Oryctolagus cuniculus: one gene and its partners. The protein of the gene in region 1 purifies or fractionates together with the protein of each later gene. This does not show direct contact. Links are inferred from orthologs where the notes say so. Each region holds a gene or a part of one and is shown on either strand. Other genes may lie near its edges. The genes, in order: NHERF2, ARHGEF6, PHLPP1, PRKD1, PLCB3, LPAR2 and PHLPP2.

Region 1 (3,947 bases):
CTCACAGCGCAGCCAGCTGTGGTGGGAGAGGGTGGGAAAGGAAAAAGGTCCACGTGAAGGCCCCCGCCCACCCCACACGTTAGGCCCAATACCTCCACTGCCCCCAGGCCGGGGGTTCTCAAAGCGGAATCTGGGGAACCCCTAGGCGGAACCCCCCAAGGGATGTGGTCAACCAAAGAGGTAGGAGACGGCTCTTCCCCAGGGCTCACATGCTTGCCCCGCAGGGTTACTTCCAGGTCCCCACCCCTCCTGCGGCTGGGGGGTCTTTGCTGAAGACTGGGGGAAGGGTGGGCTCGCCCTAGAAGCTTCCTGAACCAGGCTGCGCACAGCAGCTTCTGGGGCCAGCTCTCTCCGAGGGCTTCACCCTACACTCAGACCAGACAGACAGACAGAGACGCAGACGCTGCTGAGGGGCCAGGCTCGCTCCTTCCCAGGGTCCGGTGACTCCGCCCACCGGGCAGGAAGGGCCTCGTCGCCCTGGGCCAGGCTAAGGGCAGGGACAGAGAGCGAGCCGGGAAGGGGGCCGAGCTGTCCTGTCTACCCCCAGTTAGGAACTCGGACTGAGAGAAGAGGGACCCAGAAGGCAGCCGGGGCGGGGTGAAGACTTGTCAAGAGGCCAGGGTGGCCGCACGGGCAGAGGCTGCCGTACCTTCTGGCCAGCGTCAGAGCTCAGGCTGCCTGCACGTGCCCAGTCCGGCTTTGGCTCCCAGGGGTCGTGGGCGGGCGGGAGCCCTCGCTGGGCCATGTCCTCGGTGCAGGTGAGCTGCCGCCGGCGCAGCTCCTCGTCCGTCTCCTTGTCCACTACCAGCAGCCGGGTCTCCCCTTCGACAGCCTTGATCCTCTGCACCACCTGGGGCAGGCAGGGACGGGGGCAGGTCAGCGGCCGGCAGCCCGGGCAGCACGTGGACGGTGGCACCACTCCGGGATGGCCTGGGCTGGCAGGCAGACAGGCAGCCAGGCTGCCAGGGGTGGGCGGCTGGCCCCGCCGGCTCCGCCCCCCGCCCCCGGCTCCCTGACACAGCCAGCCCTGAGCTGCTCTCAGCCCAGGGTGGAGGTGACCAAGACGGCACTGAATGAGCTTCAGGGGCTCGGTCTGCCCGTGCGTGTGCACACGCTCGTGTGTGCGCACCATCTGTTTCCAAGTCTGCCTTCCAGCCCAGGTTGGAGGCGGGAGGTGCTGTCGGGTGTTAGTTTGGCTGTGCATGTTCGCTTGCTTTCAACTTTCTCACGGGAATCTCAACCTGCCCTAGACACAGACCGTCTGCCTGCAGACCACAGACCCACTCCTGCTGGGCCTGCGGACAGCTGAGAGCTGGGTTCCCGCTCAGGCCCCCGCACACGGTCGGGTAAGGAGGACAGCGGGGAGAGGGGCAGGTCTGCCCGTGGCACAGGTGCGGCGTTCCAGGCGCTGTGTGTCTGGGAGCACACAGGGTGCCAGCGTGTGCCAGCAGGGAGAGGGCAGTGCCCACTATGGCCCTCGGCCTGTGGAAGAGCGGAGCAGAAGGCTCCCACCTGCTGCCCAGCTCCCCAGATGCTGTCAAGCAACAGGGGGAGCGAGCCAGGCCCGTCCTCGCCCGGCCCTGCTCCCCGACTTGTGACCCAAACTGAAGCTCCAAGCCTCAGTTTCCATATTTGTAAAGCAGAGTCCCGGCCGCACCTCCTGGGGCTGGGGCTGGGTGTGAAGTTCTCAGACAAGTGCCCAGGGGCCCGGAACAGCAGGTGCAGCTGGAGCGAGGATGGCCATGGCTGTCACACAGAGGCGGGGTGCCAGCTCTGCCAGCCCTGCCTCCCCCACCTGTGGCCCTGACCCCCACTGCACTTCAGCACACAGCACCGCTCTACCCAGCTTCCAGTCTCGCTGGAAGACAGAGGCTAGGGGACCCCGGGAAGCCCGGCCAGTGGCTCAGCTGTCTGCTAACCCCTAGGCCCAGTACTGGCCACGTAGACAGGCCACAGGCTCAGCGGTGCTGTGAGGGACACGGAGCAGCCGGAGCAGCCGGTCCGGAGGGAGGCTGGACTCTGGCCAGGATCTGAGGTGAGTCCCTGGCCAGCGGGAGACGGACATCCCAGGGGTTACAGCCTGCAAGGGAAGAGGCCCTACCCTCTCCAGCTGCAGGAGCAGGGGGCAGTGGCCACAGCGCCCCGAGGAGGGTGAGGGTCGCAGCAGCTATGGAATGTGCCACCAGGGACTGCCAACTCGCACCGGATCCAGGCACCCCGGCTGCAGACACACTGGCCGGTCTACACCGCCCAGACGCGCAGGGGCCTGGCTGCTGGCACCCACACGGGCAGGACCCCGGAGGCCTTGCGCGGTCACACAGTCCCACAGGCTCAGGAAGCACCCGGGTTCACCGACACACAGGCTGGAGCCAGGCGGGGGGAGGGGGCCGAGGGCCGGCTTGGAGCCGCAGTGCGGCCCCTCCCTGCCAGAACGCCTTCCCCCGCGCTGCGGTGCGGGGCTGAGCGTCGCGGGGGAGGTGCGGGGCCCGCCACCCGCAGGCAGCGCCCAGCCGGCCGGGGCGCAGCGCGGCACCCACCTGGTGGTGCGTCTCGCCTTCCACGTTGACGCCGTTCACCTCGACCAGGCGGTCCCCCGCGCGCAGCGCGGCCGCCTCGGCGGGGGAGCCGGGCTCCACGCGCCGGATGAACTGCCCACGGCGGCCCTTCTCGCCATGCAGGTGGAAGCCGTAGCCCTGCTCGCCACGCACCAGGCGGCACAGGCGCGGCCGCAACGGCTCCGGCGCGGCCATGGCGCCCGCTGACCACCGGCCGGCCGCGGGCTGGCCACGGCGCTACGGGGCCCGCAGGCCGGGGCGCGGGGGCGGCGCGGGGGACGGGCGGCCGCCTCGGCGTTGCGCTCGCTCGGCTCCAGTCGCCTCGGGCTCGGGCTCGGGCTCCGGCTCGGGCTCCGGCTCGGGCTGGGGCACCGCCCCCGCGCCCGCCCCTTCCCCGCCCCCGCCGCCCGGCCGCCCCCGCCCCGGGTCCACGACGCGCTGGCCTGGCCCTGCCTCCCGGCCCCAGCTGCCCGAGGGGCTCTGGAGGGGAGGCTTCAGGGCCGGGGAACCCCTGTGTCTGGCAGCACGTTGGTGCCAGCGCTTCTGGCTTCCTGTGCAGGGCCTAGAGCCGGCTCCTGAGCTGGGGGCCAGGTGGGAGACAGTGGCCCCAGGCAGAACCCCCAGGGAGGCCCCGGAGTGAGGCCCTGCCTGCCCTCCCTGGGCGGTCCTTTGCCCACCCGCACGGTTCACCTGCTCCCCAGCCACTGCCCTCACCCCCGGGACCCTCCCGCAGCCAGGGCTGCCCTGCACAGAGCCCCACGACCTGCCTGGAGGCCCCTGGAGGCCGTAGTGACAGGGTGGGCTTTGTGTGCCCGTGGGCTCCCTAGAGGTCGGCCCTCCATTCTCGCACTTGGCTGAGGCCTACCCCAGGCCCCGGCAGACCCTGGAGTCCCAGGCTGCAGGGTCGGTCGGGGGCTGGCCTCCTGCCCCGAGACTTTGGCCTCTGTACTCTGTGGTCAGCACCGGCACACCTGAGCCGAGGTCTCTGGCACCTGCCCCCTGCCTCTGCCACGCCTCCCCTGCCCTGCGGCTGACAACCGCCAGCAGCACTTTGCCTGGCCAGGCCTCTCCAGGTGCAGTTTTACTGGCACAGAGGGAAGCACCCCTCCCCCAGGCCCAGGGCTGTGCGGCCCAAGCCTGCAGCCTTCACGGCTGAGGCCTGAGGCGGCCTGGCCTGCCCCGCCCCAGCCCAGCAGGGACCCCTGCCCATGCCTGCCCCAGGGGTGGGGCGCAGCAGTCCAGACAGTTCCCAGGTGGGCCCCAGTCCTCACCCCTTGCTCTCCCGTCTCCAGTTCTCTTGGCCTGGGCTCTCCAGCCCCCACCCACACCGTGGCCCCCTGGGTGCCCACCTCCAGGAGCTCGTGGCATCGTGGGTGCCCCCACCCTCACCTC
Region 2 (3,500 bases), on another chromosome or scaffold:
TTCTTATAAAGGCTAAAAGGTGAAATGAAACAGAGGCGGTGGCATTATCCTGCCAACTGCTTTAGGGGTGGGCAGGAGAATGGAGTGTTCTGTGCCTCCTGGCAGATTCTCCAGGAGGCCAAATGCCCTTAGGGCACCATATCCACTAAGAGTCATGGAGATTAACCTTACAAAACAGAAACATTCTTCCCATGGTTTATGTTTCCCACTGATACCGGTTTAAGGGGATTAAATAACAACTATACCTACTAATGTAGCATTTATCACTTCTCAAAGAACCTCAAAATTATTTAAATAACTTTTCCTCAGAAACAATCCCACAAAGAAGCATATAATTTCTATTTGTCAAGAGGGAAGATTAAGTCATTTTTTTCCACAGAGAACCAAATGACTGCCTGATAAATAATTTGGGGCTAAGAATAACACCCACAGCCAAGCTTAACTATACATGTATGAAGCCAAATTTCTTTTTTTAAAATAAATGATGTTTATTTGAAAGTAAGAGTTATATAAAGAGAGGAAGAGATAGATAGAGAGATCATCTCTCTGCTGGTTCACTCCCCAGATGGCCACAACAGCCAGGTCTGGGCCAGGCCAAAGCCAGAAGCCAGGAGTTTTATTTGGGTCTCTCACATGGGTGGCAGGTGCTGAAACTCTTGGGCCAACTTCTGCTTCTAGGCCATTAGCAGGGAGCTGGATAGGAAGTGGAGCAGCTGATACATGAATGGGCACCCATATGGGTTGCCAGTGTCACAGGTGGCAGCCTCACTTGCTATGTTGTAACACCCAAAGCCAGATTTTTAATTAGCAAATAAAAAATTATTGAATTTGCTTTTGTCATATGAATAACCTACAAATGACAAAAGTTCTCATTGACAATATCCAAATAAATAGATTAGACACTTACACTCAGGGAAAAAAATCCTCATGATCATTTTATTCCCATCTTCCTTCCATGCTATGTGTACATGTGATACATCGATAATAATTAGTATCTTAAAATATATGAAACAAAAGTTTGATTTCTTTCACTTAGTCACAGTGATCCACTAATTCTTGAAAACAGACAGGATGAAAAAGTCACATGTGAAGAATAACAGGACAAAACAAAGGGCCGGCGCCACGGCTGACTTGGCTAATCCTCCGCCTGCAGCACTGGCACACCGGTTCTAGTCCCAGTCGGGGCACCGGATTCTGTCCTGGTTGCTCCTCTTCCAGTCCAGCTCTCTGCTGTGGCCCGGGAAGGCAGTGGAGGATGGCCCAAGTGCTTGGGCCCTGCACCCGCATGGGAGACCAGGAAGAAGCACCTGGCTCCTGGCTTCGGATCAGCACAGCGCGGGCTGTAGCGGCCATTTGGGGGTGAACCAACAGAAAAGGAAGACCTTTCTCTCTGTCTTTCTCTCTCTCACTGTCTAACTTTGCCTGTCCAAAAAAAAAAAAAAAAAAAAAAAACCACACACACACACACACAAAGGAACACTGGCATTTTTAAGGCCTTATAGGGTGACATTTGCATATGAATTTCATACAAGCCTGCTCTGGGAAGAAAGTACTTACATGTCAGAATTGTATCTTCATATTTTAGCCACCAAGTATATATAACAAGGAACAAAGCAAGCATAAGAGAAAGCTTCATTCATCAAAGGTTATAGCACAGTATTATGATGTCACTGTAAGCCAAAGATATTATTCTACCCTTACCTTTAAGATATAAGACATCCTCTAAAATGAATATGTAAAGAAAGAGAAGATGAGCGTGAGAGGTCGATGGTTATAATGACCAAATCCATTTATCAATAATTCTAAAACAACATTTGAAATGTTAGTGTTATCATAAATTACACAGAAAGAATATCATCACATTTCCCACATTAGTTTCAGATGCCATATCATCATGCAAAAGCCCAAGAAATACAGTTCTGTGCAGAATAACAAATGCTGAAAATGACTGAAATACACACCACATCATCAGAATATATTAATAATTCTCTTCCCCCAGCAGAAACAAAGTGGTCATGCCTTGGTTTTAATAGATTAGTTATGTGAAGGATTAAGCTGACTTTCCCCCCTTCAAAGCTCACCTCAATTTGACCTTAGCAACTGACAATTACAAATTATCCACCATTTAAAAAGGTAACTATGAAGTAGCACTCCTGGTTTAGGGAATCAAAGAAGAAACTGGGTAAATTGCAAAGAAACTGGGTAAATTTCCAAAGAAACTGGGTAAATTTCCAAAGCAAATCTGTAGGACTGTTTCCTGGCCAAATTCTGAATCGAGGTACATAATAAAGATTCAATTCAAGGGTTATTTCTCCTTCCACACCAGCTTGAAAGAATCAAAAAGTCCTCCAGTGTCCAAATACTGATGTATTTCTACTACACTAAAAGTTGGTGACAACAATTAATTGAAACAGAAGCATGGTGGTTTAAATCAAAGCACACTCAAAACTAAGCGGAGTCTGCATCACTCAGAACACACATTTGATAGATAAATAGATGCTGTCTCTGCACCATAAATCTAGATTCATAACTGTCACAAACTTAAACTTCAGTCAACAATACCTATTTAAGGAAAAGTTACAAATAAATGAGCATTCTTTCTGAAATATGAAATGATGAGAAACAGGTTTGGGGGAAAAAAATCAGTGTGAATGGAAAAGGTAAGACTCCACAGAGCAACTAGTGACTGATATTTCCTGATTACAACTTCAAGGGGATAAAAAAGGCTTTGAAATCCCTATATTATTCAAATATCAAATGTCCTTTAAGGTTCTCGCAGAGAAACCTTCTCAAATGACATTCCTTTCATTAAATTCTTTTCCCTTCCTAACTAGGGCAAATATCTTTCGTACTTTGGACCCATGACTGGGTTATAATTTGATTTAATCAAAATGATCCAAAATGTTGAGTTGCATCTACTTGATTGAAAATTCAACTCCAATGAAGTGGCTTTTGTTTGAGTTGTGTATACTTTGTTAACTAATTCAAACAATTATCAAAATTATCTCAGAGGTAAACCAGAGGCATTTCTGGAGGAGGCTTGGGAAACTCATATTGTGCACATCAACCCCGTGGCTAATCAACAAATGTTTTTAGATGGACAACGGGGAAATGGAGAATCAAGAAACAAGCAAAAAAAATCACCAACACTAACAATTCAATACTAACTGACATATAGCACCTATCATAAGGTTTAGCACATTCCCACAAAACTATTTGTAATAAGTTATTATATTAGCTTGTCAAAAGCATTTTATACCATATGTAGCAAAATTACCTCTTTATAACCTAGAGCTGCTGATGGTCTAAGTGGAGGTGCAGGTCGCAGACAACTTAAACTCCACGGTTTTATAATTTGAGGAGGCTCCAAGGGTCCTCGGGACTGTCCGGTAGAGCTAAAAGACTGGGAAAATGTCCGATGAGATACTGGCAATCTGCCATCTGAACCCGACCTTGTGCCACACACAGAGAGAACAATAGCTTTGTGGATCAGCAAAACC
Region 3 (3,500 bases), on another chromosome or scaffold:
ACAGATTCAAAATGCAGGTTTTCTGCCCTTGTAAACATTGGTCAGACAAGGTCATAGATTTCAAATTTTTGTAAAAATGCTAAACTAAGAGCAGAGTCACAAGATGGAAAGATAGAAAATTAAAGTAAATTAATTAAATTTACCTAATGGATATATTATATTAAGAAAGCCAGGAAGGAAAAAACAATTTAAGAAGAGAAATTCTCAATGATGTCAAATGCCTCAGATAAGCCATGGAGAGAAAAAATTATGAAGAAAACAATAACCACTTTGCTTTCAATGACACACATTTCATTCACTGTAAATAGCTCTCTGATGCAATAGCCCCGTCTATTCATACACATTAAAACTGGATTCAGATTTGCAAAATTAAATTAAGACTTTCAGGAGATACAGTCATTCATGAATGAGAATTTTTTAAAAGCAAGTTTTAGGGTAAGAGTGAATGCTACCATCAATCATTCTTCTTCCCTTTGGGCAGAAATAGAAAAATGGGCCCTCGTTCAACTAATCAGGCTGTTTGCCTTGGGTAATATCACCAAAAGGTCTATAATCTACCACCCACAGACAAGCCAACCACCCAAGTGGTGTATATATTTCTCAAAAATGGTTACCTTAGATCCACATGCTTAATGTGAGGCATTTTTCTTAAAGCCTGTAGCCTAAGAGTCTCCATACAGTTTCCAGACATACAAAGTTTATCCACAGCAGTCAGTTTCTCCAATACCTCTGGAATGTCAGTAAATTCGTTGAATGAGAGACCAAGATAACTAAGCTGGTGCATGTTTTCCAACTCAGCAGGAAGGGACTGGAGAAAGTTTCCATCTAACAAAAATGTCTGTAAACTATGAAAGAAAACATGAGAATTACAAAGAGAATGGGTAAATTTTACATTTTTATCAACAAACAAGTTCCATAAGTACAGATCATATCACTATAAAATATATTACTCCTTGCAAAATGCATAAAGGCACAGCCAGAGGCAATAGTGGACCAGAGAGAACAGTTCAGAGATAAGCATCTTAATTTTTCATTAAAAACAGAAATTATAACCCATGGGGTCAGTTTGTGGCATAGTGGTGCTGCAGCTTGCAATGTTGGCATCCCATATGGGTGCCAGTTCATGTCTCAGCTGCTCCACTTCTGATACAGCTCCCTGCTAATGGCCTGGGAAAGCAGAGGAAGATGGCCCAAGTGCCTGGGCCCCTGCCACCCACATGTGAGACCTGGATGAAGCTTCTGGCTTCCACCTGGCCCAACCCTGGTCATTGCAGCCATTTGGGGGAATGATCAAGCACATGGAAGATATCCCTGTCTCTCTAATTCTGACTTTCAAAGTAAATAAGTACATCTTAAAAAAAAAAAAGAAAGAAAGAAATTGAGACCATCTTTCCCCAACATGCATAAGTATAAATGGAAACAATGTGGAGATAACTGCAAGTATGAACCAACCCAAATACTCATCTCTCCTTCTTATTTCTCTTCTGTGTCTTAGAATTCAATATAACACAAAAATGAGAAAGTAAACCCTCCTCCATGTTTAGACACACTCATCCATAGGAATCTTTAACTCTAAACAAAGATCTGTTAATTTTTCCAGCATTTTAACAGTATAAATCCAACAAAGGAATGCTTTACTGATCTCTTGATTTGGGGCCAAGACTTCCATGATCAGAACAAGTTCACTAATCTCACATGCTACTATCGGATGTAGTTTCCTTTAGTTTCCCAGATACCCCTGCCGTGGGCTTTAAAAGTACTGACTTGTGCATAGCTCCGACAGCTGCTGGGACGGCTTGCAGGGCATTGCAGGACACATTCAGCTCTGCCAGGGTTGGAATACTGCAGACTGCTAGTGGGAAGTCTCCTAAATGATTATTGGAAAGGTTAAGACTCTTCAACTTGGTGAACCTATTATAATAAAACAAAAGAAAAGAAGAAGCAAATTTTATAGCAGCATAACATAATTCTGGCATAGCCTTAAGAGGCAATCTGGTCTGACTCCCAAATATAACACAGGAGGAAATGGAGCCTTCAGAGGTTGAGGGAGCAGTAGAGCTAAAATGTGTATCTTTTGACTTCTAAGCCTGGTGTTTGACCTAAGAGAGAAACTTTATATCCAAAACACACTTGTCACTCTACTGCAAGGCTGAATGTTGGAGGTGGTGAGTTCTGCTAGGGTCTGCTTTTTAGCCATGCCTCAGCTTAACTATCACACATGTAAATGGTCCCAGGGAAGGACCCCTTTGAATTCCGTTATCCCAGAAAAACGAGGAACTTCACTCTACTTTTCTCAAATCTGAAACAGATATAGTAAAAATTTTAACATTTATTATAATGACACACTAAGGTAACCAGGACTTCGCAGTTCCAAATTTAAGAGCCAGTTATCAGTCTTTAATCTCATTGTAACACTTGATACTGCTGGCCATGCACCTTTCCTTGGAAAATTCTCATTTCATTTTACCACAGTATTCTGGGTGGACAGTCTTTTTCTTTTAGGACTTGGACTATGTCTCTCCACTCTCTCCTAGCCTGTAGGGTTCCTGATGAGAAATCAGCCATCTAATTGAATCACCCAAAATTGAACTTACCTCAAACCAGCATTTCCTCTTGTTCTATTTTTGCTATTTTTTTTTTCATTTTCTTAGTTGCCCAAATAACTAAAGCAATTTAAAAAACTACCTTTCATTTTTACTTCTCTGTGAGCTCCTACATTTGGCTCACTGCCCACCTTTACATCATTTCCCTATGAGATGAGAATCACAGCAGTCACTGCATTATGCTAAGTCTTTTAAAAACCACCCAAAGTGTACACTCTGCCCAAGACTGATAAAACATTCCAAAAACACTTCAATTCAGCCCAGTCTGTAAAAGAAAGCATCATGGGACCTATCTGTTGAATTCTGTAATAAAAAGTGTTAAGCTCTACTCTAAAAATTAAAAACTTTATTCTACACAGAAAGCTGATAACACAACTATTTGAAAGGTTGAAAGTGTTAATCTTCATTTTTTTTGTAATAGCTGTTTTCTTGGAAAGCTGAGTACAGATATAGAAGTATTTTAAATTATCATTAACAACTATAAACTCAGTAAAGAATAACTGCTAAATATGCATAATAATTTTTAAGTTGTCTGCTTTATATTTTTCACTTTGATTCATTAGACTTTCTTAAAATGAGCAATGATTATTCTCTAATCTAATTATCCATGATCTATAAAACACAAGGTAGAATTTCAGGGTCTATTATTTCTAGCCCAGTGAGCCTCAAAATATGCTGGGGAACACCAGAAACATTCCCTGAAGCTCTTTCAGGAGATCCCTAAAATCAAAATTATTTTCATAAAAATATAAAGAAATTTTCATCTGCCATTATCATTTTCTTCCAAGTGTTTGGTACTGATTGCCAGGTGACACATGTCTTACTTATAGCATATCAGACTGACTACAGAGAGATATGAGAATCTAGTCAGACATTAAAAGAATTGTAAGAATACAA
Region 4 (2,763 bases), on another chromosome or scaffold:
CTGGTTCATTCCTCACGATGCCCACAACAGCCAGTGCTGAGCCAGGCCAAAGTCAGGAGCTTGAAACTTCATCTGGACCTCCTACATGAGTAGCAGGGATTCAAGTATTTGGAGCCTCCCAGGATGTGCATTAACAGGAAGCTGGATCTGAAGCAGAGACATGCTGTGCCACAATGCCAGTCCCTAGCATCAGTATTCTTAGTCCCTGACTTACACTGACTAAATCAGGAAGCTCCAATGGGATTGCTATTTGCAGTATTTCCAACTATGACTAGCAGCATCATGTTTGAAAGCTGTCTTTACTACTGGAAACTAGAAGTACTGCAAGACTGAAAGTGTTCATTATATTCTGAAACATTTTTGACCACTTCAGCATCAAGTTGAATTCTACACCATGAGATTTTTGTCCTGCCTTTTTGAGTAGATATTTCTGCTTCTAATTGGTCTGAAAATAATAGCGTGGACAACAAATGGAAATAATCCAATCAAATGGGCACATATTTTGACAAGAATATTTATTTGTTATTGTTGAAAAATACACAAAGGCAAAAGGTCACTTAGCTGCTGGTTTTCCATGGTACAGCAGGGTGTTGTTACAAAGGGGGAGATACATCTGTTATATAGAGCAGTTTACATTTCTAAGGCATTTAGGTTTAAGAACAGTAGGCCCTGCATGCCTAGGTGCGTTTACTTGAGTTTAAACATAATGAGGAACACCAGGCAGACAAAGAATTTGAAACCACACAATGAAATTCTTTCATGCATTTATATCAGGACTTCATGTCCTTTACCCTACCCATCCCACCTTTTGTTTTTCCCCAGGTGAGTTTGGAGTTGTTCATAGAACACCGGTAATAATTGACTCTTCAAGAGTTTGCTTACAAAGACAACACCAATGGGACACACCAAATGGAACTGCTTCGTGGATAGGTTCTGTCCCTTATCAAAATGAGGCTCCAGTAAGAAAAACACTGATTTGCCAAGGCACAGTGGAGACAGGTTTAATGCATTAAATATAACATGAATCATTCACAATAACAAGTTTAGTGTTTCAGGGAACTTTTGTTAATAAAACACAGTTGGTCACACAAAATACAAATGCTTCTGTTGATTTGTCTTGGCAACTCAGATACATCAACAGTGCTAACAGTTTAACAGCTTTGTTCTCATCTGACAGAAAATAATGGCAGTTCTGCAAGGCAAATGTTAAACCTGACCGTATGTATTTATTAATTCCACAGTGTTTTGACAGATTATAGGGGATGGAACTTAGAGGATGCTGACACGCTCACTGAGGGCTTTCATCTCTGTTTCTTCGGTCTCAGGACTGTCACCGTGGCTGGCGCTCGGATTGATCAGGTGTGTGGGGTACTGCAGCCCCTGCTCGCCTGCATACTGCTCCCACCTTGAGTCATCGCTTTCATGGGTGATGTAGCGCTCCCCAATTTTGCATTCCAGCTCTCGTAAATCTAACCAGGTTTGATAGTCCTGAAGAAGAAATCCCAAAACATTGCCATAGAGATCATTGCAACACAACACGCCTTTTCATATGTTGTCACTTCCCACAAGCAGACTTACCCTTTCTCTTCCACTCTAACAGTGCTGCATCTTTCATCACATATCCTCAAGTTACAGCATGAGCTGCAAAGCCATCCTCTTCACCTAACCTTTCAAATACATACTGTTCATATGATACCGCGGATCGACGTGTATGCAATTAATGCTTGCAGTCAAGCAATTAGGAATTTCTGTTTCCCTTTGAAATGTAATGCCTACAAATAATCCTTCAGTATTTCAGAGTATCATTTTTAAAACTTTAAGTTCAACAAATATTTAAGATAACATATAAGCATACACATGTACTTTACATTTGCCATGCATTTTTTCCATGTTCCAATAGCCTAGGACTTAAAAATAGAGCTTTTGATTGAATACAGTGAGTAACTATTTGGACATTTATCAGGATTTATATTCTGAAGTTTTTGAAATCTGGCCCTCTGAGACATGTTATTATCCTTGTTTTCTGTTGGTGGTGGTGGGTTTTCTTAGTGCTTATTTTGGTGTGTGCCTGTGTGCGTATATATGTGTATCTCTCCTCTATCACATTTCCTTTGTAGAGACAGAGGTTTTGAAACACTAAACTATTACTAAACCCTAAGATTTTACATGCATTTGGCAAACAAATTAATTAGAATTATTATTATTTAGAATTATATATATAATTATATATATGTTAGAATTATCATACATTTTAAAATAGAAGAAAAGTTTCCACAAATAATGTTAGAATCCTATAAATATTTCTCCAACCAAGAAAAATCAAGGATTGATTTTTACCTGTAGCCAAGGATGACTCAGGGTCTTATCCACACTATAGCGTTTTCTCATTTTTACTTGCAGCAAATTATTGATAAGATCGATGGCTGAAAAACATTTTTAATCATTATTAAAAAGAGATGATAAATCTGGAGCATATGCACAATTCATTTACAGTTTATTCCACTTCTGTTATTTCACACAGTCAAGTGTAACACAGTGATAACAGGTACTACAATCTGAAAAAAAAAATTCCCCTTGAGGATTCTAAAACCATGAACTTCATTTTATTTACGATACATATTTAATTAATTGGGTACTTAAAAAGTGAAGTTGGAAATAATTGTGAAGGAAAGAGTATCAGAGTCTCTTGAATAATGTAAATTTCAATTGGTCTACTCTTTAGTACATTTTTTAAGAAAGGGAATTTTGTTTAAATATGTCATT
Region 5 (4,004 bases), on another chromosome or scaffold:
CCCCCTTTCTTTGTCTTCCCAAGGGCAGGGAGTGGCTGTGAGAAGTCTGAGGCTGGACACCCCCCAGGAAGCTGTGTGACCTTGGGCAAGCCTCTTGCCCTCTCTGGGTCCCAGGTAGAGACGAGAATTGCAGCCTACAGAGCCAAAGCCAGAGCCTGGGAGGTTCACTGGGTTGGCGGCCAACACAGTGGGGATTTGGAGGGAGGCCAGTGCCCGGCGGGGCTCCTCTTGGGGGTCCGAGAGCCTGGGGCAAAGGGGCCTGCAGGCCTGTCCTCCTCAGCTGACCCCTCCTCCCCCAGAGCGGCTCCTTCTCTTTCTGGGTTTCTAGGTGACTTGGCTGGCCCCTCTGGATGAGTTCTACTTTAAACCTGCTGCTGCCACAGCCTCTGTATTGGGGGGGCTCCCACAGGGGCCCCCAGGCAGGTGCCCCCCCGGCTGAGCCCTGCGGGAGGGGCTGCAGCCCTGCCCCTCCTCCCATGCCTGGGACACAGATTTCAGGGCACCTACCCAGGGCCAGGCACTGCAGAGCGCCCCCTCCCCAACTCCCTCCTCTGGGCACACCCCCGAGGCTCGCACCCCTCTGGGTGAACAGCCCTTTGCGGTTCTGACAGAGGCCAGCAGTGCCACGCCGGTCTAGGGGTCTACGGCGCAAGCAAGGGGCTGTGCCAGGGTTCACTCTGGAGGCCAGGATGCCCAGGTCCTCAGAGGAGGCAGGTGCCTGGCTCCTAGGGATGGGGGTGGGGGAGGGCCGCCTGCCCGCGGGAGGCCCATTAGCCTGCTAAGTGCTCCCAGGGAGGGGCGCAGCGCTGCTGCCAGAGGGGGTGAGGCGAAGTGAGGGCACCGAGAGGGGGTGGGCTTTCTCTGCACTCAGCTAAGAGCAGCAGGGGCGGGGCTCTGCCTCCCCTGGCCCAAGGGCCGCCCCCCACTAGACCCTTGCTTGGTATCTCAGAAACCTCAGCGGCCCCTCTCCCATCCCTCCAGCTGCGCCCCGACAGCCTAAGGAATCACTCCCTGCTGAGCCACCCCAGCGAAGCCCCGCACTGCTCCCCGCGGCCCTCCGCCTCAATGCCCACTCCGGCTGCAGTCACCGCCCCGGCCGCCAGGGGGAGCCGGCGCGGGAGGGGGCGGGCCCGACGCCGAGGGAGGGGGCGGTGCCGCCCGGGCCCCGCCCCCGCCCCGCCCCGCCCGGGCCCCGCCGAGTCTCTGGTCGGTCCCGGACAGACTGGCGGGCGGGCGGGCGGACGCTGACGCCGCGGGGCTGGAGCGGGCCGCGCGGGAGCGCGCGGGCGAAGCAGCGGCGCCGTCGGTCCCCGTCGGGGCTCCGTGCGTCCCCGGCCCGCCCCTGGCCCGGCCATGGCGGGCGCCAGGCCCGGCGTCCACGCGCTGCAGCTGGAGCCGCCCACCGTGGTGGAGACCCTGCGGCGCGGGAGTAAGTTCATCAAATGGGACGAGGTAAGAGCGGCGGCCCCCCTGCTCCGCCCAGATCCGGGGACTCCTCCACTCGAGCTTGGCCGGGCGCCCCCCGGCCCAGCCTGGCTGCGCTCCAGGAACCAAGCCCCGAGTTGTCCCCGTGGTGAGACTTTGCCCCCCAAGACACCCCGTCTCTCAGCTCCGGATAATTTGGCCTCCGCTCCTCGCGCCGAGACTTTGAACCCCAATAAATGCAGCCCCCCCACGCGCTGGTCTCACTCCTGTCACATTAATTCTGGTTCCCCGCCTCGGCATGGCCCCCACACCCCTGCCCGGCACGGGGCTCCCTGGCTGGAGGACCCCGACCTCCACTCTGGCTGGGGGCATCCTCGTCTCTGGTGGGCGCCGCTGGGCCCCCGCTGGCCCATTCAAACCTTCCCCACCCTCCTGGGCTGGTGCCCGGGCCCGGCGCCCCGCGTCACCCCCCAAGTTCACCCACCCCGGGAACTTTGCTCCCCCTCCTTAGCCTCGGGACTTTGAACCCCAACGAGCCCTCTCCCCTTGTCTGCCTCCGCCGCTCCCCGGACGCCCAAGCTCCCACCTGCGCTGCCGCCCGCGGCCTGAGCCCCACCCACGGTCTCGCCGCCCCTCTCTGGCCCCCAGGGCCTCCACCCCGCCGGCCGGCTCCTCGCCGCTCCTTCCCAGTCAGGCCATAGGCCTGGAAGACTCGGCTCCTTTCCGGCTGGGTGGGGCGGGTAGGCGTGGGAGCTGGGGGGAGGGGCTGGGGGCGTGGCCCGGGCGGCAGGTGTGCCGGCCCGGGTGCCCCGGCGCCCCGTGGGGGGCCCGGGGAGACCCCTCCCCTAAGGCGGGCCAGAAGGGAGAAGTTTCTCCTTTGCCTTCCAGTCTGATAAACCCAAATAAGGAAGTGGAGGCCCGGAGAGGACCCTGGGGGTGGGGTAGGGGTGCTGCCAAGGGCTTGGGGCTGCCGGGCTGGGGCCTGGGCTGCCTTGGAAGGCAAGACCCTCGGGAAAGGGCTGGGGAGGGGCCTGGGGGTGCCCACAGAACCCCCCCCCCAGTACTGGGGGCTTCAGCTGTAGGGCAGCCTTGGGGATCCCAGCAGGACTGGCGCTGGGTGTCAGCACCCTGAGCTGGGGAGGCCCATGTACCCCAAAAGTTCCAGGGGCCTCCTGTGCCTTCTGTCCCCAGATCCACCCCCACCCCTGATCCCCGGTCTCTGTAAGCAAGGTTGGGCGGGGCTGGCGCTGTCCCGTTCTGCGGATGAGGAGACTGAGGTGGGGAACGCAGGGTCCTGCTCCTCTGCCTCTGGGTCCCTGCCTTGGGCCTGCAGCAAGACGGGCGGCCTGGTCTCGCGGCCTGTACAGTGGGGACGCACTGGCACGGAGCTGCGAGGGCGGAGGGCGGCCGTGGTGATGCCGGCATCGCCCACCAGACAGCGGCCCGCTGGGGGTGGCCCCTGGGGTGCGCGGGAGCTGAGGCGGGAGAGGTCTCCCAGCTCCCAGCTCTCGGAGTCACGCGGTGACCGTGGAGTATGCCGGGGACTGGGCCCCCAGAAAGTGGGGCCGAGACCCTTCTGCCCCTGGGACGACCCGAGCCGGAGCTCCCTGCCTGGTTCCGAGGCGGGGCGAGCGTCCCCCAGGGACTCGCGCTTCTGGAAGGTGGAGCCTCGGGGAGCCTGGGCAGCACAGGGTCCCATGGGACTCGGCAGCTGGCGGGGTCAGGCTTTGCAGCCTCTGTCCCGTCAATATTCCATGGTGGGCTGCTGGAGTGGGGGCTCCAACCGTCACAGGGCCCCGGGACCTTTGGGGTCCGCGGAGCCCAGGGCGGGGGCTAGGGAGGTGGGCTGGATTTCCGGGATTAAGAGGGAGAGGCCGGCGTCGCAGCTCACTAGGCTAATCCTCCACCTAGCGGTGCCGGCACACCGGGTTCTAGTCCCGGTCGGGGTGCCGGATTCTGTCCCGGTTGCCCCTCTTCCAGGCCAGCTCTCTGCTGTGGCCCGGGAGTGCAGTGGAGGATGGCCCAAGTGCTTGGGCCCTGCACCCCATGGGAGACCAGGATAAGTACCTGGCTCCTGCCATTGGATCAGCGCGGTGCGCCGGCCGCAGCGGCCATTGGAGGGTGAACCAACGGCAAAGGAAGACCTTTCTCTCTGTCTCTCTCTCTCACTATCCACTCTGCCTGTCAAAAAAAAAAAAAAAAAAAAAAGAGGAAGGGAGATAGGGCAGTGAGTGACCCAGGTGGCCATACCTTAGGGTGGTGCTGGGGCCAGAACACAGGCCGCACCCAGGATCTTGGTTTTGTCCTGAGGGCCTTGGGCAGCCTGGGGGGGGGGTGTGTGGCTGCAGCAGGCGTTGTCTCGGCCACTACTGGACACCGTGGCGTGGCGGCTGGAGGGGTCAGCAGCCCTCACTCCCTGACCCTGGCTGTCCTGTGCTGTCCCCAGGAGGCCTCCAGTCGGAACCTGGTGACCCTGCGCGTGGACCCCAATGGCTTCTTCTTGTACTGGACGGGACCCAACATGGTGAGGGCTGGCGCTGGCGCGGCTCACTTAGGCCCAGGGCCCCTGCCCCAGACCT
Region 6 (4,107 bases), on another chromosome or scaffold:
CACGGCTGGCGACACCAGCATCCCATATCAGAGTGCTGGTTTGAGACCGGCTGCTCTGCTTCCAATCCAGCTTCCTGCCCATGTGCCTGGAAACGCAGACAGGTGACGGCCCACATACCTGGGCCTCTACCATCCATGTAGGAGATACAATGGAATCCCTGGCTCCTGGCACAGCCCCAGCTGTTGTGGTCATTTGGGGAGTGAACCAGTGGATGGAAGACCTCTCTCCTTCTTTCTTTGGCACTAGGCTTTTCAAATAAATAACTCTTAAAAAAAAATAAGATTGATTTACTTGAAAGGCAGAGTTACAGAGAGAGGGAGGGAGAGATGGAGAGAGAGGTCCTCCATCCACTGGTTCACTCCCCAAATGACTGAAACAGCCAGAGCTGGGCCGGTCCAAAGCCAGGAGCCAGGTGCTTCCTCCTGGTCTCCCATGTGAGTGCAGGGCCCAACCACTTGGGCCATCCTCCACTGCACTCCCGGGCCTCAGCAGAGTCCGGCGCCCCAACCGGGACTAGAACCTGGGGTGCTGGAGCTGCAGGTGGAGGATTAGCCTAGTGAGCCACGGAGCCAGCCAGCAGCAGCCCTATAAATAACTTAAAAAGGAAAAAAAAAAAGTTGGAGTCGGCATTGTGGGATAGCAGGTAAAGCCATCAGCTGCGATGCCAGCATCCCATCTGGGCGATGGTTCAAGTCCCAGCTGCTCCACTTCCGACCCGGCTCACTGCTAATGGCCCCGGAAAGCAGCGGAGGACGGCCCCAAGCGCTTGGGCCCCTGCACCCACCCGGGAGACCCGCAAGAAGCTCCTGGTTCCTGGCTTCTGCCTGGCCCAGCCCTGACCATTGCAGCCATCTCTCCCCACCTCTCTGTAACTCTTTCAAATAAATACTTTTTTTTTTTTTTAAGATGCAAAACCAAAGCTTTTTAAGGACTTCTGATAGAACTCAGAACAAAACGCGACTCTAGTCCCCGACCTTTGACCTCCGAGGCTGGCCAATCTGCTCCCCCCCCCCAGCCAACCTTGAAGGCTGCTTTCTTCCCAGACTCTGGGCTACTCCTGCCTTGAGGCTTTCCACCTTCTGTTCCGTCTGCCTGGAATTCTTTTCCTCCCCCTGGAGCATTCAAGTCTGTGCCGAGATAACAGCTCGCCAGGGATCACCGCCCACGCCCGGCCCTTATCAGGTGTAGTTCACGGTCTCTGGGTGTCGTGGGGTCAGAAGGCAGAGGCCCTCACTCACCTAGGATGATGACCACCGTCTTGACCAGGCTCAGCGTGGTCTCTTGGTAGCGGGGGTGACAGCTGACATGCTCCGACATACGCTGCACCCTCCGCCGGACGTAGAAGAAAATGTGGATGTAGACGGCCACCATGAGCAGGAAAACCAGCAGGCTAGACAGGGCCCAGACGGCCAGGTAGGAGCGGCTGAGCAGGGGGGCCATGCGAGAGCAGCGGTCCAGGGCGCAGAGGCAGTGCCACGAGTGGGCGGGCAGCAGCCCCAGCCCCAGCGCGGCCAGCCACACACTCACAATGAGCATGATCACGCGGCCGCGCGGCAGACGGCTGTGCAGCTGCACGGCCATCACGCTGCGGTGACGCTCCACGGCGATGGCCAGCAGCGTGGCCACCGAGGCCGTCAGGCTCGTGTCCAGGAGGCCCTGCCGCACGAACCAGCCCTCGAGGGACAACCGGGCTGTGCGCGGCCCCGTGTGGAACATGAGGAAGAGGTAGGCCACGCCGGCGAAGAGGTCGGCGGCCGCCAGGTTCCCCAGCAGGTAGTAAATGGGCTGGTGGAAGCGGCGGTTGGAGGCAATGGCCGCGATGACCAGCAAGTTGGTCAGCAGCACCAGCACGCTCACCGTCAGTCCCAGCGCCACCACCAACACGTCCTTGGGCCGCCAGTGGGAGCTCAGCTCTTTGCCGCTGTTATTGTAGAAAAAGCCCACAGTCTCGTTGTAATAGCACTGGCCCATGGTGGCCACCTGGGGGGGGGGGCACAGAGTCGGGGGTCAGTGCAAGTGAAGCTCCTTGGAAACACACAAGGAGCCAGCAGCAGCCTGGAGAGGAGGAGGAAGGCAGACAAAACGCATCCGCAGTCCAGTGCCGGCCGGGCCCCGGGGGGTGGGGGTGGGCCGGGTAGAGGGGAGCTAGGGGAAGGGAGAGAACAGGGCAAAGGGGCGTGAGCTGCGTGAGCAGACGAGGTGCCCGGGTCAAGTGCGGGGAGGAGAAACCAGGAAACGCGTGTGTGTGCGTGCATGCACGCGCACGCGCGCGCGCGCGCAAAGTGAAGTCCCTCGCCGGGACCCTGCGGGAGCTGAGCGGTTCCTTTGGGAGGCGGCAGCTAGGCGGTCCCTGCAGTCCTCGGGCCGGCAGGATTTAGGTGCCAGAGCTCCCGAAGCGGGCGGGGCATCGGGCCGTTCCGGGTGGGACGGAGGACCCTGGAGGCCGCCGGGACAAAGAGGGCGCTCGGGGAGAAGGCGCTGGGCGAAGCCGCCCGGAGCCCCTAGGCTGGGGGTGGGGAGGGAAGGGAGAGGGGGCGGCGCCCAGGCCCCGCGGACACGTGCCGCGCCCTCCCCGGGGTCCGCGCTCCCCGGTCCCGCGTCGGTGCGGGCCTCACCTGGGCAGCGCGTCAGGCTGCAGACGGGGCGCGCTGGTCGGGGGCTGGGGTGGGCCCGGAGTCCATGGCCCCGCGACCGCGGCGGGAACGAAGGCGCGTCCGGCTGCGGAGGGCGCGCGGGAGGCGGGGTCGCCCGGAGGCCCCGCCCCTTGGCCGGAGCCCCGCCCCCGCCACCTGGGGGAGCCCCGCCCCGCCCCGCCACCTGGAGGGAACCCGGCCTCGCCCGCCTGCAACCCAAGCTGGGTCGCCCGGAACCGCAGCCCCCTCATTTCCTCCCCGCCTACCCCGGTCGCCCCCCTCCATTTCCGGCGCGGGACCCTCACCCCGGCCCCCGCACACCTTGAACGCGGCCGCACTTTGGAGACTGACTCTCCCAGCGACGGAGAAAGCCCGCCGGGACCACGCGCGGCCCGGGCGCAGCCCCGGGTGGTCTCCAGGCCGCGCCCCCCGCCCCAGAACCCCCCCTTTCCCCGCCCTCTCCCTGGCGTCCAATCGGCCGCCGAGCTGCAAGCCACGCCCTGATCCGACTCGGCTCCCACTGCCGCGACCCCCGCCCAGCCAGGGCTTCCCCAGCGCAGGTCTCCCACCCCGCAGACCCCCGCCCCCGCCCTCCGGCGCTCTCCGCCTTGGGACAGCGCTGCCCCCTGCATAGCCCCGGCCTGCGGCTTCCTCCCCCAGCCTCCCTGCGGCGGCCCAGGACTCCCACGGAGTGCAACACGAGGCCCTATTGTCCCGGTTATCTGTACTTGGTCGTGTTTGTTTGATTACACAGGACCGGTTTGGGGACGCGTAGCTGTGACTCAGCCGCGTGCCCAGGCCCCTTCTGCCTACAGGTGGGTCAAGGGTGTGTGGGCATGAGGAGGAAAAGGGGGGCCCTCGGCTCACTCGGGGGCAAAGGGGGCTTGCCCTGGCCGGCCTCTCCCCAGCACCCTCCTCGGCAGCCACACGCGGTGTACACAGGGCGACATTTATTCAGAAACCACCAGATCCCGGGCACCCAGGGGGCTGTGGGGTCTGGCTGCCCCCCCACCAAGAACTGGTGGGTGGCTTGGCTCGGTGAAGTCGGCAGGCGGCGGTGGGGCAGTGCCCACACCAAGCAGCAAAAGGCACCCAAAGGGTCAGAGTCCGGGGTGGACCCTGGATACTGACCGTGACCTGGAGCGGCCCTGAGGCTTTGGCCATGACCTGTGTGTGTTGGGAAGGTTCTGGGCCTCCCCCAGGCCACGCAGTCTTTATAGGAACCCCCCCCAAGTGGAGCTCTGGCCCCAGGTGTGTGCTGGGGGGGGCGGTCAGGCACGCGAGACATGGGTCCATCTTCACAGTCCCAAGCCCCCCCGCAGAGGGTCCAGGGGTGGTCAGAGATGCTCCTCATCTTCCTCGGGCTGGGGGTCGGCGCTGCCGGCGGTCCTGGGCACAGCCTCGCTGTCCAGCTTGGAGAGTAGCCGGGCGGTCTCTTGGGTGATCTCAAAATGTTTGGGCAGCGGGGTGCGG
Region 7 (3,500 bases), on another chromosome or scaffold:
AAGTACTTAGAGGTCACAGACTCTCTGGAGAATCTGATGAAACCTTACCCCCTTCCTCCCTTCCTCCACACACATACATATAAACAATGCAGATGACTCCTGTGGCTCTTTAAAGAGCCAAAGTCCCCACTTCCAAGCCACAGCAGGATCACAGAAGGAGTGGGATCTGTCCTGGATCCAGATCCTAATCTTCTGGCTTACAGAGACTGACTTTCCAAAAGCAGAACTGAGTTAGGGATTATTCAACCCATCTGCTTACCTGTGAGACACCAAGAAGGTGCTCGCCATGAAAACGGTGTCATGTGCTGACTGCTGTACCTCTTCCAACAGCACGTCTGCCATCGTGCACTGCAGCAGGCGAGGGAGCTCCTCGTTCCGGTCGCCGTCAAACATGCCATACGCGGCTCCCACACCCTCTGCCAAGTTATCCATAGCTAGAGCAGATACACACAGCCTAGAGCAGAAACAGAAGAAAGACAATCATCAAAGAAAGTGTTTGGTAACAGATTATTCTCCAACTGAAGTTGGAGCAGAACAGCAGTAACTCTCAATTTACATGTGAGAAAGTCCCTAGAGAAAATAATCCAGCAGAATCTAAAACAGTGATGTCCTAAGGAAAGGCGTGTCTTGCCACACTCATGGGCAGTACATAGTTTTGCAGTGCTGCCCAAGGCTGGAAGATAATGTATTTTCTCATGGTAGTGATTAAGAACTGGATTTTGTCAAAACCCTTCAGCCCAAGAACCCCAAAGCACATCTGTAACTAGACAAGCCGGGTTTATTAGACCTTGCAGCAAGGGTGAATGCTAGTCCATGAAACCATGGGGCGTACTGGTAAGAGGATGTTGGACAGAAACGAGTATAAGATTTGGGCTTTGGTTGGGTCACTGGGCAGGGCTCTAGGAAGTGGAGGATCACACTAGGTTGGGTGCTAAGAGAAAGCAGGACGACTCCACAGTTGGGTATTTCAACTTTGTTGACAGGGAAGGAAATTTAACACAAGGATAAAGCTGTAATTGATAACCTAAGAAGCAAACACCCATGTTAGCCATGAGAGGAGGTGTTTGGTATTCTGTGGACTGCACACGCACATTTGTCTCACTTTAGCATAGTCTCAGAAGGATCTTATGTGAGCTGACATGCTGATATGCTTATGTGCAACAGAACATCAGGGCCTCACTAGGAGCACCAGAGACATCTGAGACACCAGGGGCTGCCAGTTCTTGAACTCAGTCTTCACAGTCAACACACTCACTTATTTCTCTGTCCTGCCATCTCAGCCAGTCCGTGGCTCCAGAAGGTTGATGTAATGGTAGAATCTGTGGTTGGCAAAGGTTTCTGATCAATTTTTAGTGTTGTGATATGGCTGTTGAGGTGAAAGAAGAGAAGATTAAGCCATATATTAGACTGTCTTTGATGAAAACTCTCCCAAAGATATCATGTGTTAAGATTAATTCTTTTCAAAAATTCTTTATTTACCTGAGAGAGCTGCAGAGGGAGAGACAAAGAGGGTCTTTCAGGGCTGGTGCTGTGGCATAGTGGGTAAAGTTGCCACCTGCAGTGCTGGCATCCCATATGGGTGCCAGTTTGAGCCCTGGCTGCTCCACTTCTGATCCAGCTCTCTGCTACAGCCTGGGAAAGCAGTGGAAGATGGCCCAAGTCCTTGGGCCCTTGCAGCCACATGGGAGACCTGGAAGAAGCTCCTGGCTCCTGGCTTTGGATCAGCACAGCTCTGGCCGTTTCAGACATTTGGGGAGTGAACCAGTGGATAGGAAACCTCTCTTTCTCTCTGCCTCTCTGTAATTCTATCTTAGAAAGAAAAATACAGAAAAAAAGGAGAAAGAAACAAAGAAAGGAAGGATGGAATAAAAGTCTTTCATCTGCTGTTCTACTCTCCAAGGGGCAGCAACAGTTAGGGCTGAGCCATGGGTGCAGAGGTCCAAACACTTGGGCCATCCTCTGCTGCCTTTCCCAGGCCATCAGCAAGGAGTTGGATTGGAAGTAGAGTAGCCAGGACACGAACTGGCACCCACTGGGATGCAGCAGCTCTATCCACTGTACCAAAATGCCAACCCTAAGGATTAATTCTTAAGTATTTATTTATTTCACAGGCAGAGTAACACGGGTGGTGGGGAGAGAAAGAGAGAGACAGAAATGGAGAAAGAGAGAAGGCTCTTCCATCTGCTGGTTCACTCCTCCAATGGTCAGAGCTAGGCCAGGCTGAAGCCAGGTGCTCAGAACTCCATCAGGCAAGTTCGCAGGGAGATGGATCAGAAGCAGACAGCTGTGACTCAAGCTGGTACCCCAATCTAGGATGCTAGCATACCAAGCAGCAGCTTATTTGAAAGGCAGAACAACAGAGAGGGGAGGAGACACAGAGAAATCTTCCATCCTGTGATTCACTCTCCAAATACCCACAACAGCCAGGACTGGGCAAGGTCAAAGCTAGGAGCCAGAGACTCCATCCAGGTCTCCCACATGGGTGAAAGGGGCCCAAATTCTTGAACCATCATCCACTGCCTCCTCAGGCTCTATTATCAGGAAGCTGGATTGGAAGTAGAGCAGCCAAGTGCCCCCACCCCCTAACCAGGAGGAAAAAAAAAAGAAAAGGTGCAGCAAGAAGAAATAGGGGCCAAACACTGTCAAAATTAATGCCATTCTTTTCAATCAAGATCTCAGCAAAACAAAGATTTCTATGCTTCAGTCATATCTACTTATTTTACACATTTTGATACAGGTACAAAGAACTCGTACATCTTACAGATGTTGTAATGCAATCTGTACCAACTAATATATTTATGCCTAATATGTAAAAATACCAGACATATGTTTGTGTGGTAGCCATGTAGTAGTTTTAACACAAATAGACTGACTACTTCACTGCTGCAAGGTGCAGCCCCTAGGGGCTGTGTAGACAGGGCTGGTCTGTGGCAGATACGCAGGGGTGAGCTGGAGCGCTCACCCGAGGGGTGTCCCCACATTGTAAGTGGGGGGTAGGGGTCTGTGGCTCAGCATCCTGCCTGCTCCCCATACTCTGCAGCTGTTAGAATGGGAGAAACAGCTTGGGGCGCTGTGTACAAGGTGTACAGACCAGGAAGAGGGCAGCCACTGGGAACACCCACTGCCCTCGCAACTTCCTGTGTTTTGTTTTGTTTTGTTTTGGACAGGCAGAGTAGACAGTGAGAGAGAGAGACAGAGAGAAAGGTCTTCCTTTGCCGTTGGTTCACCCTCCAATGGCCGCTGCGGCTGGTGCGCTGTGGCAAGCGCACTACGCTGATCCGAAGCCAGGAGCCAGGTGCTTCTCCTGGTCTCCCATGCGGGTGCAGGGCCCAAGGACTTGGGCCATCCTCCACTGCACTCCCTGGCCACAGCAGAGAGCTGGCCTGGAAGAGGGGCAGCCGGGACAGAATCCGGCACCCTGACCAGGATTACAACCCAGTGTGTCAGCGCCACAAGGCGGAGGATTAGCCTATTGAGCTGCGGCACCGGCCACTTCCTGT

What was found.
Region 2: the proteins of NHERF2 (region 1) and ARHGEF6 purify together in Homo sapiens (affinity purification with mass spectrometry; 3 studies listed by BioGRID and IntAct, with this or other methods). This does not show direct contact. The link is inferred for Oryctolagus cuniculus from reciprocal best matches to the Homo sapiens genes NHERF2 and ARHGEF6.
Region 3: the proteins of NHERF2 (region 1) and PHLPP1 purify together in Homo sapiens (affinity purification with mass spectrometry; 3 studies listed by BioGRID and IntAct, with this or other methods). This does not show direct contact. The link is inferred for Oryctolagus cuniculus from reciprocal best matches to the Homo sapiens genes NHERF2 and PHLPP1.
Region 4: the proteins of NHERF2 (region 1) and PRKD1 purify together in Homo sapiens (affinity purification with mass spectrometry; 3 studies listed by BioGRID and IntAct, with this or other methods). This does not show direct contact. The link is inferred for Oryctolagus cuniculus from reciprocal best matches to the Homo sapiens genes NHERF2 and PRKD1.
Region 5: the proteins of NHERF2 (region 1) and PLCB3 purify together in Homo sapiens (co-immunoprecipitation; 3 studies listed by BioGRID and IntAct, with this or other methods). This does not show direct contact. The link is inferred for Oryctolagus cuniculus from reciprocal best matches to the Homo sapiens genes NHERF2 and PLCB3.
Region 6: the proteins of NHERF2 (region 1) and LPAR2 purify together in Homo sapiens (affinity purification with western blotting; 3 studies listed by BioGRID and IntAct, with this or other methods). This does not show direct contact. The link is inferred for Oryctolagus cuniculus from reciprocal best matches to the Homo sapiens genes NHERF2 and LPAR2.
Region 7: the proteins of NHERF2 (region 1) and PHLPP2 purify together in Homo sapiens (affinity purification with mass spectrometry; 3 studies listed by BioGRID and IntAct, with this or other methods). This does not show direct contact. The link is inferred for Oryctolagus cuniculus from reciprocal best matches to the Homo sapiens genes NHERF2 and PHLPP2.

What each region holds. Positions count from the first base shown.
Region 1 is NC_091450.1:33,196,704-33,200,650, forward strand, and holds the start of NHERF2 (Na(+)/H(+) exchange regulatory cofactor NHE-RF2), read right to left. Parts: upstream 2,801-3,947; 5' UTR 2,751-2,800; coding exon 2,538-2,750; intron 851-2,537; coding exon 650-850; intron 1-649.
Region 2 is NC_091453.1:114,529,963-114,533,462, forward strand, and holds part of ARHGEF6 (rho guanine nucleotide exchange factor 6), read right to left. Parts: intron 3,404-3,500; coding exon 3,278-3,403; intron 1,723-3,277; coding exon 1,702-1,722; intron 1-1,701. UniProt on the Homo sapiens protein: Acts as a RAC1 guanine nucleotide exchange factor (GEF).
Region 3 is NC_091441.1:15,654,533-15,658,032, forward strand, and holds part of PHLPP1 (PH domain leucine-rich repeat-containing protein phosphatase 1), read right to left. Parts: intron 1,912-3,500; coding exon 1,765-1,911; intron 846-1,764; coding exon 615-845; intron 1-614. UniProt on the Homo sapiens protein: Protein phosphatase involved in regulation of Akt and PKC signaling.
Region 4 is NC_091443.1:45,772,058-45,774,820, reverse strand, and holds the end of PRKD1 (serine/threonine-protein kinase D1), read right to left. Parts: intron 2,424-2,763; coding exon 2,338-2,423; intron 1,489-2,337; coding exon 1,270-1,488; 3' UTR 501-1,269; downstream 1-500.
Region 5 is NC_091432.1:7,057,967-7,061,970, reverse strand, and holds the start of PLCB3 (1-phosphatidylinositol 4,5-bisphosphate phosphodiesterase beta-3), read left to right. Parts: upstream 1-1,204; 5' UTR 1,205-1,353; coding exon 1,354-1,452; intron 1,453-3,871; coding exon 3,872-3,949; intron 3,950-4,004. UniProt on the Homo sapiens protein: Catalyzes the production of the second messenger molecules diacylglycerol (DAG) and inositol 1,4,5-trisphosphate (IP3).
Region 6 is NC_091447.1:66,278,354-66,282,460, forward strand, and holds the start of LPAR2 (lysophosphatidic acid receptor 2), read right to left. Parts: upstream 2,801-4,107; 5' UTR 2,617-2,800; intron 1,982-2,616; 5' UTR 1,973-1,981; coding exon 1,240-1,972; intron 1-1,239. Other genes in the region: GMIP (GEM-interacting protein), read right to left, coding at 3,972-4,107. UniProt on the Homo sapiens protein: Receptor for lysophosphatidic acid (LPA), a mediator of diverse cellular activities. Seems to be coupled to the G(i)/G(o), G(12)/G(13), and G(q) families of heteromeric G proteins. Plays a key role in phospholipase C-beta (PLC-beta) signaling pathway.
Region 7 is NC_091449.1:55,608,619-55,612,118, reverse strand, and holds part of PHLPP2 (PH domain leucine-rich repeat-containing protein phosphatase 2), read right to left. Parts: intron 1,367-3,500; coding exon 1,256-1,366; intron 455-1,255; coding exon 260-454; intron 1-259. UniProt on the Homo sapiens protein: Protein phosphatase involved in regulation of Akt and PKC signaling.